Struthio camelus: one gene and its partners. The protein of the gene in region 1 purifies or fractionates together with the protein of each later gene. This does not show direct contact. Links are inferred from orthologs where the notes say so. Each region holds a gene or a part of one and is shown in the gene's direction. Other genes may lie near its edges. The genes, in order: E2F1, RBL2 and SIRT1.

The links.
Region 2: the proteins of E2F1 (region 1) and RBL2 purify together in Homo sapiens (affinity purification with western blotting; 3 studies listed by BioGRID and IntAct, with this or other methods). This does not show direct contact. The link is inferred for Struthio camelus from reciprocal best matches to the Homo sapiens genes E2F1 and RBL2.
Region 3: the proteins of E2F1 (region 1) and SIRT1 purify together in Homo sapiens (affinity purification with western blotting; 3 studies listed by BioGRID and IntAct, with this or other methods). This does not show direct contact. The link is inferred for Struthio camelus from reciprocal best matches to the Homo sapiens genes E2F1 and SIRT1.

What each region holds. Positions count from the first base shown.
Region 1 is NC_090959.1:2,871,094-2,874,835, reverse strand, and holds the start of E2F1 (transcription factor E2F1), read left to right. Parts: upstream 1-1,591; coding exon 1,592-1,780; intron 1,781-3,728; coding exon 3,729-3,742. UniProt on the Homo sapiens protein: Transcription activator that binds DNA cooperatively with DP proteins through the E2 recognition site, 5'-TTTC[CG]CGC-3' found in the promoter region of a number of genes whose products are involved in cell cycle regulation or in DNA replication.
Region 2 is NC_090951.1:18,707,255-18,710,996, forward strand, and holds the start of RBL2 (retinoblastoma-like protein 2), read left to right. Parts: upstream 1-1,097; coding exon 1,098-1,307; intron 1,308-2,387; coding exon 2,388-2,518; intron 2,519-3,742. UniProt on the Homo sapiens protein: Key regulator of entry into cell division. Directly involved in heterochromatin formation by maintaining overall chromatin structure and, in particular, that of constitutive heterochromatin by stabilizing histone methylation.
Region 3 is NC_090948.1:38,574,603-38,578,344, forward strand, and holds the start of SIRT1 (NAD-dependent protein deacetylase sirtuin-1), read left to right. Parts: upstream 1-1,009; 5' UTR 1,010-1,029; coding exon 1,030-1,516; intron 1,517-3,742. UniProt on the Homo sapiens protein: NAD-dependent protein deacetylase that links transcriptional regulation directly to intracellular energetics and participates in the coordination of several separated cellular functions such as cell cycle, response to DNA damage, metabolism, apoptosis and autophagy.

The sequences.
Region 1 (3,742 bases):
GAAAACTCAGGTTTTCACCAAGCAGCGTTCTCCACGAACGGTATCTGTATTTGGCACCGTACCTTACAGTTTAAAAAGAAGCACATGCGGGCGCACGCCAGATCCTAGGGGATGACACGGAGCGGGGAGAGGCTGGCTGAAACCTGCTTTGCAAAACAGCAATTCAGTGAGTGACATCGCTCATGCGTGGGGCAAAGGCTGCAAATACGCTGTGCACCGGTGCTGTGACCCCCGTGGGGGAGCCGGCCTGGCCGGTCCTGCGCCCGCGGGGGAGCCCGGCAGCGGGCCGCGAGGGGGTCCGGCAGGAGCAACTCCCCGGATGGGTTCTCCTTGCGACACTGGTGCAAAGGGAGGCAGGACAACGTGCCCCCGGCCTCGCGACGGAGGCACCACCGAGGCGAGCGTGGCGGGGAGAGCACCGCCCGCGCCTGCCCCCCGGGGCGGGTGCCCCCCTGCACCCGGGCACCCACCCAGCTGCCCCGGGCCTGGGCCGCAAAGGGCTGGCCCCGGCTGAGGGAGCCGCCGTGGGTCGCGGCAGAGCGGGGACCCGCGCAGGGGGAGCACAGGAGGCCGGGGGGAACACAGGCAGCGGGGTGCATGGAGAGGAAGGGGTTGGGGGGCACTGGCTGCAGGGCACCAGAGGGGCTGTGGGGCAAGGGCTGTGGGACTCAGACTGTGTGACAGAGAGGGGCCGTGGGGCACTGGCTGTGGGGCCTGGGATGGGGAAGGGGCCGTGGAGCACTGGCTGTGGGGCTGAGGGGTACAAGCTGTGGGGCCTGGGATGGGGAAGGGGCCGTGGGGCACTGGCTGTGGGGCACTGGCTGTGGGGTACAGGCTGTGGGGCCCAGAGAGGGGAAGGGGCCGTGGGGCACTGGCTGTGGGGCCCAGGCTGTGGGGCCCAGAGAGGGGAAGGGGCCGTGGGGCACTGGCTGTGGGGCCTGGGATGGGGAAGGGGCCGTGGGGCACTGGCTGTGGGGCAGAGAGGGGCCGTGGGGCACTGGCTGTGGGGCCTGGGGGGGGGAGGGGCCGTGGGGCAGAGAGGGGCCGGGGAACACAGGCCCCAGGAGCGCCGCGCACGTCCCCTTTAAGGGCCGGCCGAGCGCTCCTCACCCACGCGGCGCTGCCGCAGCGTCCCCGAGCTACCCCCTGATTGGCCCCTCCCTCGGCGCGGCGCCGCCGATTGGCCGGCTGTCAGCGCGTCCGGCGCCGCCGGCCGCGGCCAATGGGGCGGGCGGCGCCGCCTATCAATCCGGCGGCGTCAGCCAATGGGGGGGCGCCGCCCGCCGCCGCTGCGGCGCCCGGCGGAGGGCGCAGCCAATGGGCGGGCGGCGGCGAGGCTCGCGCCGCTTTCGCGGCAAAAAGGATTTGGCGCGCAAAGGCGTGCGGGGCCGGGAGCGGCGGCGGCGGCGAACAATACCCGCGGGCGGCGGCCAGCCCGCGCCGGGGCCGCCGCGCCGCGCCCGCGCCCGCGCCGCGCCGCGCCGCGCCGAGCATGGGCCGCGCCCCCGCCGGCCGGCCGCGCCCCCGCGCCCGCGCCCTGCCCGCCGCGCCGCCGTGAGGGCCGAGCCCCGCGCCGCCGGCGATGTGAGCCATGGCGGCGGGCGGCGCGGCGGGGCTGGCGGCGCTGCTGGGCGGCGCCTCCCCGCGCCTCCTCATCGTCTCGGCGGCCGAGGAGCCCCCGGGCGGCGGCCGCCCCGACGCCGACCTCCTGCTCTTCGCCACGCCGCAGCCCGCCCGCCCGGGCGCCGCGCCGCGCCGGCCCGCGCTGGGCCGCCCGCCGGTAACCGCCGGGGACGGGACGGGACGGGACGGGGCGGGGCGGGGGGCGCGGACCGGGAACGGCGAGCCCGGGCCCCCGCGGCTGTGGCGGGGCCTCTAGACCGGCCCAGCGCCGAGCCGGGCTATGTCGTGCCGGGCTATGTCGTGCCGGGCTATGTCGTGCCGGGCTATGCTGTGCCGTGCAGCACAATGCCGTGCTATGTCGTGCCATGCAGCACTATGTCGTGCCATGCAGCACAATGCCGTGCTATATCGTGCCGTGGTATATCGTGCCGTGCAGCACAGTGCCGTGGTATATCGTGCCGTGCAGCACAGTGCCGTGGTATATCGTGCCGTGCAGCACAGTGCCGTGCTATATCGTGCCGTGCTATGTTGTGCTGTGCTGCACAATGCCGTGCTATATCGTGCCGTGCAGCACTATGTCGTGCCGTGCAGCACAGTGCTGTGCTATATTGTGCCGTGCTATGTCGTGCCGTGCAGCACAGTGCTGTGCTATATTGTGCCGTGCTATGTTGTGCCGTGCTGCACAGTGCCGTGCTATATCGTGCCGTGCAGCACTATGTCGTGCCGTGCAGCACAGTGCCGTGGAATATTGTGCCGTGCTATGTCGTGCCGTGCAGCACAATGCCGTGCTATATCGTGCCGTGCTATGTTGTGCCGTGTTGCACAGTGCTGTGCTATATCGTGCCGTGCTGCACCATGTTACGTGTGCCATGCTATGCAATGTCTTTGTGCACCGCACCACGCCGGGCCGGGCCGTGCCGAGCGGCGCCCCGTGGGGCGCGCGGGCCAGGCCCTGCCACGCAGCACACCTGCCAAGCAGGGCCCCGCTCCCCGGGTTGCGTCAGGCCGGCGGAGCCGCGGCCCCGCTGGGCGCTGCCTGCTCCGGAAGCCGCGCGCCTCCGAGCTGGGCCGGGTTCCTGCCTCCCCTCCTGTGCGGCGCATCTGCTGCGCGCCCGGGACGCGCTCGCTTCGCAGCGCTCCCTGGCGCAGGAGCCCTCCGCGGCCGGCCCCCGGCTGCGCCTGCGAGCTGGCCGGCGGCTCCCGCTCCTTGGCTCCCCCTGGACGCGCGCAGGGCGGGAGCGCCCCGGCATCGGGCACCCCTCTGCCCGGGCCGGTTGCCGTGCCGCGCTCGGTGCCGCGGGTGCGCGTTCCCCGCTGCCGCACGGTCCCTCGCAGACGCGCCGTTTGCCTGGCTGCTGCCGTGGGGCGCCTCGGTCCCCGCCGTGGCAGACGGGGGCGATGGGCCCGGCCAGCCCCCTCTGACGGGTCACCCAAAGCTTTTGTTGCAGGAGGCTGAGCAGAGCGCTGTGGCCGGTGCTTTTGCAGCCCCCTGGGCTCACGGGCTGCGTGGCGGTGGGCGCCCGGTGCTGCTCTGCTGGCAGCAGGATCGGGTGCCCTGCGCTTTCCCGGCTCCTGCCAGTTAATCCCATCTGTGCTGGGGCTCAGAAACGCTCTGGGGGTGTCTGCGTGGCCTTACACTGTGCCCGCCCAGGGAGCGGCGATGGGCGCAGGCAGCACCCCGGCTCTGCACCCCAGGGACACCGGGGTCGGGTGCTGTCACCTGCCCGGGGTGCCTGCAGCCGGCACAGCCTCCGCCGTGGCCCGCGGGCAGGCAGGAGGCTGCGCGTGCCGAGAGCCCATCCGTAGGGATGCGCTTGGGCTGGCCAGCTGGGAGGTGTGCGAGGCTGCGGCCGCAGGAGGCTCCGCACTGCCGAATCCCTGGTGTCCCCCCTTGCAGAGGTTCCCAGGTGGGGCCACCAACGCCTCCCTGTCGAGGGCGCTCGGCTGCTGGGGCCGGGCTGGGAGCAGACCCCTGTGTTTGAGCCGCGCGGGTGCCTGGGGCTCCGCATCAGAGCCGTGCGTCCGTCGCACAGAAGCGTGGACGTGCTGGGGTACGGCGATGTCCGTGCCGTCCGGTCCTCTGAGGAGCCACCCGTCTCTTGCAGGTGAAGAGGAAGCT
Region 2 (3,742 bases), on another chromosome or scaffold:
TTGCTACCCATTCATTGCTTGTGTTTTGTAAGGAGACTGCGGTTTCTCACTGGAGGAACCAGTAAACAGAAGTCCTGTGGGATGAAAAAAGATTTCAGTGCCTTTCTAAAACATCTGAAAATGTTTCTTATGTAAAATTTCAATAGGCCATTAAATTAAAAGTGGCCTTATTTTAAAAGTTTACTTGAATGGTCTCATTTAGAAATCTTACATCACTTACAAAACGCGGTTGCTTAAAAACGGGAGGAGGTATGCCAGTATAACCACAGCATCGTCACCTTATCCCTAACCTAGATTTTGCTTATCTTTTAATATTTTGGGATTTTATTATTTAGATGAAAAAAAGTGATTTTGAAAGAGTAGATTAGTATGTATCCCAATAGAACGCAGAATACTGTGACAAATTATAGTTGCTTCTTTAGAAGAACAGTGTAAATGGCGGTTGGCATAGGCCCTAACGGACCACCAGCCGGCGCTGCCCCTCCAGGCCTCGCCCTAGCCCCTGTTTTCTGGCGCCACCTGGTGCTTTCAGAGCGGACTGCAACCGTGCGTCCCCGCCCGGGCGAACGCTTCAGGGTTACGCCAATCCCGCGGCCGTTTCCCCCCGAGGCTCCCGCTGCTGTTGGCGGTGAAGCAGCCGTCGTGCGGAGCCCGGGGCCGCAGCGGAGCGCCTCCGCCATGCTCCCTCCCCCGCCCTCTTCCGCCGCCGCCTAACCTTGTCCCTCCGCAGCCGCCGCCGCCGCCGGAAGTGACCTCGCGCGCTCCGACGCGGTGGCGTCACGAAGAGCACGGTGCTTCCCCGCTGCATGCTGGGAGCGGGAGGAGGAGGAGGGCGGGAGGGGGCTGCCGCGCGGCATTGCGGGAGGGGAAGTCTGTGGCGTCGCCGGGGCGCGCCTGCGCGCACCGGGAGCGCGGATAGGTTGGGCGCCCGCAAGCCGTCCAATGGGAGGGCGAGGCGCGGCGGAGGGCGGGAGCGGGGCCCAGCGCCGGGGCGTTTGGATTCGAACGCGCGTCGCCAGCCGGCGGGGCGGCGGCGCAGGCGCAGTGGGCGGCGCGGCGGGGCGGGGCGGCGCTGCCCCCTAGCGCCGGGGCGGGGGATGCCGGGCGAGGAGGAGGACGAGGCCGAGGCGGCGGGCGGGGGCGGCCCCCCCCACCCCGCCGCCGCCGCCGCCCCGTCCCCGCCGGCCGAGGAGGGCGACACGCGGCAGCGCTACGAGGAGCTCTGCAGCAGCCTCAACATGGACGAGCGCGCCCGCTCCGAGGCCTGGCTCAGCTACCAGAGCATGAAGCGCAACTACACGCTGGAGGTGAGGGGGCGGCGGCCCTCGCGGCGCCCCTCCCCCCGCGGCCGTTGGAAAACGAACCCGGGGCTCGCGAGCGCCGGACAGCGGCTGGGAGCCGGCGCGGGGCCGCGCCGGGACACGGTGTGGGGAGGGGGGGTTGTTTTATTAACGGAAAAGCAAACGCTGATGGCGAGCCGTGCTGGAGTTACGTAACTCTCGCGCGAGCAAGCGGAGGGGTTAGCGTTAGCACCTCGGCTGGTACTAACTGCAGTCCCGGAGCTGCTCAGCACCGCCAAGGGCCCCGGGGCGCGGGGGTCCTGCGGCCGAGGCAGGGCAGGTTTCGCTCGCCTTGGCGGCCGTTTGCCCTGCGGTGCCGGGCGCTGCGCGCACCTGCCCCAGGGAGGAAGCGGCCCGGCCGCAGCGCACCTCTGCCCCGCTGCTCTTGATCGTCGGCTGCTGAGAAGCTCGGAAGGGGCGGCCTCTCGGGGGGTCTGCGCACGCTTGTGCCCGCGGTAGCAGGCGGCCCGGGAAACCGCAGCCGTCGCCGCCTTCTCTGCCCCCTTCCTGTCGTTCGCCTCCCCTTTAAACGTTGCAGTTTAGTCAAAGAGGCATAGTTACGGTTGGAATTAATTTCCGTCTTTAGGAATCGCATCGAGTAGTTATTAAGCCGCATAACAGAAAAACGGAAACTGTCTTTTCCTATTCCCCTGTTGCGTCCAGGGAAGAAGGTTTTGATAGTGAGCAACTGCTGCGATTGTAACGCCGAGGCAGCGCAGGAGACGAGCAGTGCTGAAAAGAAAGCATGCTGTTAAACTTCGGCTCGCTGTGAAACTTATTAACGTAACTTGTAGTTGATACGTTTCTGTTTTGACGTAATTCAGTGTTAGCATCTGCTTTTCTTATCGTTCCGGCTTCTTAGATGGTCCTGTCTAGCAGTACCGTTAAATAGAGCTTTGAGGTAATGCATCACTCTGCTGTTGCTTGAACATTGTTAGCGGAGAGTGTAATCAGTTTTATTCTTTTTCTTCGTGCTGGGTGCATAGCTGAAGAGTGTGTTTTTCGTTTTGATCGAGTCTTTTCGATGCCTGATGTTTCATTTCACAGGGAAACGATCTGCATTGGCTAGCGTGTGCCTTGTATGTGGCTTGCAGAAAAGCAATTCCAACTGTGAGCAGAGGGACAGTTGAGGGGAATTATGTGTCCTTAACCCGAATTTTGCGCTGTTCAGAACAAAGGTAACTTTTTTTTTTTGCTGGTTTTTGGAATTTTTAAAATCTTAATCGCTGTGTATCGACTTGAAAAATTTAGAAATTGAGAGGAAAGACTGAACATCATTCTTGTTTCCTGCTTTTATATGTAGAATTTATACAATCAGAATGTTTGTGCTATAGCTCATTGCCACAGATGTGGGATAGCTTCGTTTGGGCATTAGTACCTAGCAAAAACACTGATTTTTTCAAATTCAGAGATTGCCCTCCCACTCTCAAAGGGAGGCAGAAACCAACTTCTGGTTTTGAAGAAGGTGCAGCAGGTGAGCTTGCCTGTTCAAAAGCCTAACGTCTGCATGCGTGTTCTGCTTAGAACAAGGTCTAATACACTAACATCAGAAAGCATTTTTTAATTGACTGTGCAGACATTCACACGTTTTCGGTTTTGTGGAAGAAGACTTCACTTTTCATGCGTTCTTACTTTACGAAGAGAAAGTGATATCAGAATCTGATAAACACATTTTTATCAAATGTTTATTTCTGTAAAGTCATGAAGAAAAACTTCATGAAATAATTGACTTTATGTATCAGCAGTATGGTGGTTTTATAACAATTACATGGACTGGCAAATAAATGAGCATTAGTTATGCACTTTCTCTCCCATTCTCGTTTTCTGTTGGATATATTTAAACAAAGCAAAGGAGTTTCTTTAAAAAAGCTTTTTCAAATCAGAAATGCAGGGAGCTGAATATGGGCTGTAAAAGACTAACAACATTGAAAAAGTAGGTGTACAAAAAACAGTGCAAAAATTAATGAAAGTTGAATTTATGAAATGAAATTTATTGAAACACATATAAAAATGTTTTACTCGCTTTTTTTTTTCATACTTTTAGAGGTATTCTTAGCGTTGAAGAGATCGGAGTTTGTTTTTATTTAAGCAGATGAGTTATTCAGAAAAATGAGAAAAACTTGATTTTATAGTAATCTGAATACTGGAGTTGATTGCACTTGTGTGAGGAAAAACCAATAAAGAACTGTAAATACATATAGTTAACACGATCATCAACAGATACCGAAATATTTTTCGAGTTGTCTGAGCACGGTCTTGTTTGGATGAAGGACTGGCTTTGAGTACGTCGAACTATAGTTATTGTCATGCTTGTTTGCAACGCTGCCATTTTATCAGTAGTTTAGGAAGTAAACTATTTCCTAAAATTGTACTTTTAAATTTTATTTACTTACATCAAAATA
Region 3 (3,742 bases), on another chromosome or scaffold:
TGTTCAAGCATCCCTACCAAAAGCTCAACCAACAGATGCAAAAATCCTTCAGTGCAGTCAGCAGACAAGCTGACTGCCCAAGCAAAGGCTGAAATCCATTAAGTATCTCCCTTTTTATCCTCAGGTCAGCCAGCTCCACGTTTACAGAAAAGCATTTACAGACCTTTCAGTAAAGTTACCTGACAGGCAAATGTACCAAGAGAGAGATCCTTACAAGTTTTTGGGGGCAGGTTTAATCCCACCACCCCAAGACAGCTACAGAGAAATCCAACAGAAGGGATGAAGTCAGTGACAGGAAACACCTTTCCCCACCCCCCCCCTTCAGCAAGACGCATTGCGTATTTCATATCCTCGTTCTAAAGATCATTGTAAAGAAGAGCGAGGGCTTTTTTCCTCTCTCTCTTTTTTTCTTTTGTAAATACTTAACGGGAGAAACAGGTAGACCTACGACGGAAGCCCGGAACCGCCATTTGCCGGGCACTGTCCCACCACAGGCGCCAGCTCCTGCGGCGGACTTCGGGGAGGGGAAACAAACTTCAGGCAGAACTCGGCGCCTCCCTTCTCCCGACCTCGCTCGGGCAACGCACGGGCACCGGACACAGCCCCGGGCCCGGCCGGAGCGACCGTTACGTTCCCCCTCAGCGGCGGCCGCTACGCTCCCCTCAGCGGCGGCGCTCCGCCCCCTCGCGGGCGGGGCTCCGCGCGGCCACGTGACGAGCAACCGCCGTGGCGCGAGGGGTGTGCACGTCGCGGGGGGGGGGGTGCGCGAGGGCTCAGCCGGCACGGGGGTCACGTGCCGCTGGCCGCACCCCCCCCCCCCCCGCCGCGGCCTACCCCCGTCACGTGACCCGGTTTGTTGTTGTTGCGGCCGCGGCGGGGCGGGTGCCCGCGTGGGCGGTGGCGTGGTCACGTGCCGCGTTTAAATCGCTCCCTGGGGGTGGGGGAGGGGGCGGTGGCGCTGCTGCGCGCTGCGCCGGGCGGGAGGGAGGGAGGAGGAGAAGGGGGGGCGGCGGCGGTTGCTACTCCAAGATGGCGGACGGGGAGGCTCCGCTCCTCCAGCCCCGCGGCGGCGGCGGCCCCGGCGGCGCGGCCGAGAGCGCCGAGCCCGCTCCCAAACGCCAGCGCCTCGACTCGGAAGACGGCGGCGGCGGGCGGGGAGCGGCAGCCGCCCAGCACCCGGACCGCGGCGCGGGGCCGGCGCCCGCCGCCGCTGTGACGGCGGAGCTGCCCGGCGCGGCGGCGGCGGCCGTGACCGCCGAGCGCGGCGGCGGCGGCGGCAGCGAGGAGGACGGCGGCGGCGGCGGCGGCGAGGCGGCGGCGGCAGGCTGGAGCGGCGCGGACAATAGGGCCGGGCCGCGGGGCCTGGCCCGGGCGGAGCCGCCTCGGCAGCCGCGGCAGCGGGGCCGGGGGGAGGGGGCGGAGGCGGCGCCCGGCGACGACGCGGCGGCGGCGGCCATTGGCTGCAGGCGGGCGCAGTGTTCAAACGGGGCGGCCGCGGCGCCGGCCCCGCAGCCCGGTGAGCAGCGGCGCGGGGCGGGGCGGGGCGGGGCGCGGCTCTCTCGTGCCGTTAGTCGCGGCCGTTGAGCGCCGGCGGGAGCCGGCGGGCGCCTCTGTCTGCCCGGCCTCGGGCCGGTTTGCTCGCGCCCCTCTGGCCGCTCGTGCCGGGCTTCGGGGCAGGAGGCCGGCTCCGCTCGCGTCTCTGACACCTTCTTTCTCTTTCTTTCTTGTTTTTGTTGTCTGGGAGCTGTGTTTTTGGCAGTAAGGAGTTATTGGAAATGAAAAATCCCGAGCCCCGTTTCCTCCTCACGATTGCTGCTGTGATAACGTATTTGCGCTTGTGCTTCTCAGAAGCGTTTGTGAAAGGGACAGGAGCAGCTGTCTCCACCAGCTCTTGCAGTAAACTCTAGTTACAGCCCTGTCTGCGATGTCAGCGGCCGGAGCGCGAAACTGAACTCTCGGCCTCTAAAAACATGTGCTTTGCAGGCATGCTGTTTGGGCAGTATCTGTACGCAAGGACCTTGAATTTTTTTTTTTAAGGTGGTACTTGGGAGAGACTTCTTAAACAGTAAAAGACGTTGCGTTCTGCCAGTAAGGCCTTTACATGCAGTTAAAGATATTTTTCCTTTAAGCTGAGTGAAGCTCTGCAGACAACTTGTGCTGGTGGCGGAGCTGTGCGGAAGGGAACAGGGGCCGCACGGCATGCGTGGACAGCCCCGTTGCTCCAAAACTTCATTGGAGCAGCAGGAGAGTTGAACTAACGATTCCTTTGTAAACGCCTTGGACGAAGCCTTCTTGCTCAAGTTACTCAAATCCTGGGCATGTTCTGCTTTGTATCAGTTACTTCTGGCAAGAATTGCCTTTATTCCTCTGAGGAATCAAATAACTGCACAGGGAGTGTTACAATTTAAACAGTTACTTTAGCCTGGTTATCACAGCATTTCATAAATACAAGATAATGGGTGACCTTTCTGTGATTTGAGTCTTTTAACAATGTAGCTTTGATTCCTTACATGGTAGACATAGGAGGTAGTTTTACTAAAACTTAACACTTCACATTTACTGATGTGTACTAATCACTTGTTTTCTTTCTTCATAATTGCAATTATGAAGAAAAGAGTTATGAAGAAGTGATTAGCACACATCAGTACTAATGCATGATGAGATGGAATGAAAAACTGCTGCAAGTGTCTGGATTAATAATAAGAAATAGTAAGTGCAGAAGAACAAAACAGCAAATATAAAAGTGCAGTTCTGTCCTCTACTCTTTTTCCATTCCAATCAGAATAAAGTATTAATGCAAATGAGGAAAAGGTGAAGAATGTGACAACGCAGTCTCTGAATAAAAAATAGTGTTCTGTGGTGCTCTTTATTTAAGAGTGAAGTAACCTAGCTGAAACACTATTTTGAAGGTTGAAAACTGCTATAAAGATTCTTTGCTTTGGAGAGGATGACTGTAACTTGTCCTCATTTGGTTATGATCTTGGATTTTTCAACAAATTAAGCTACAGTTGCTGTACCTGTTTTCTAACAAATGGAAAGGACAAACCAAAAGTCTTAGTGGGTAATATTCTGATAAGGTGCTGAGGGTGACATTGACGCTTCCCTCTAACCGTTCCGTCAGTGAGCTTAACGTGTGTTGTGAAACAAGTACCCCTTTCCTCTCTGGGCTCCCTAATCTAGACGCACAGTCGAGTTAGATGGAGTTAACTCTGGCTTGCTTAGGCTCAGCCAGCGGCCTTAGCTCTGTGGTGCTCTTAACCAAACCCTGCTGCAAGGTAAAATGGGTGAGTTGAGTTTCATGCAGATGGTTGAAGACAGCACGTTTTCTGTCATAACTGTAACAGGATAAAAGTGTGTACAGTGTGTACAGGCTTTTATCCTGTTTCAGTTATGACAGCAAATGTGGTCAGCTATTGCAGCTCAGCTGACAGATAGCAGCCCAACAAATGTGTGTAACTCAGCTGTATCTGACTGCGTATTTGTGGGTCTTTTTAGTGTTGTGCTCTTAAAATCTAGTTGACGACTGATCTGTAAATGGTGGTGCATTAATTTAACTGTATTCAGTCTCAGAATGAGAGCTGTGTGAAGTGAAGATTGTAGGAGAAAGGAATTACAATTGTCAGACATTTGGAATTGTTTTAAATAAAATACAAAAAACCGTAGTGCCCAGCACTTTATAGAATGAAAAGTCACTAAGGCCAACATCCAGGCCACTGAAGGCCGGTATTAATATAATAAATCC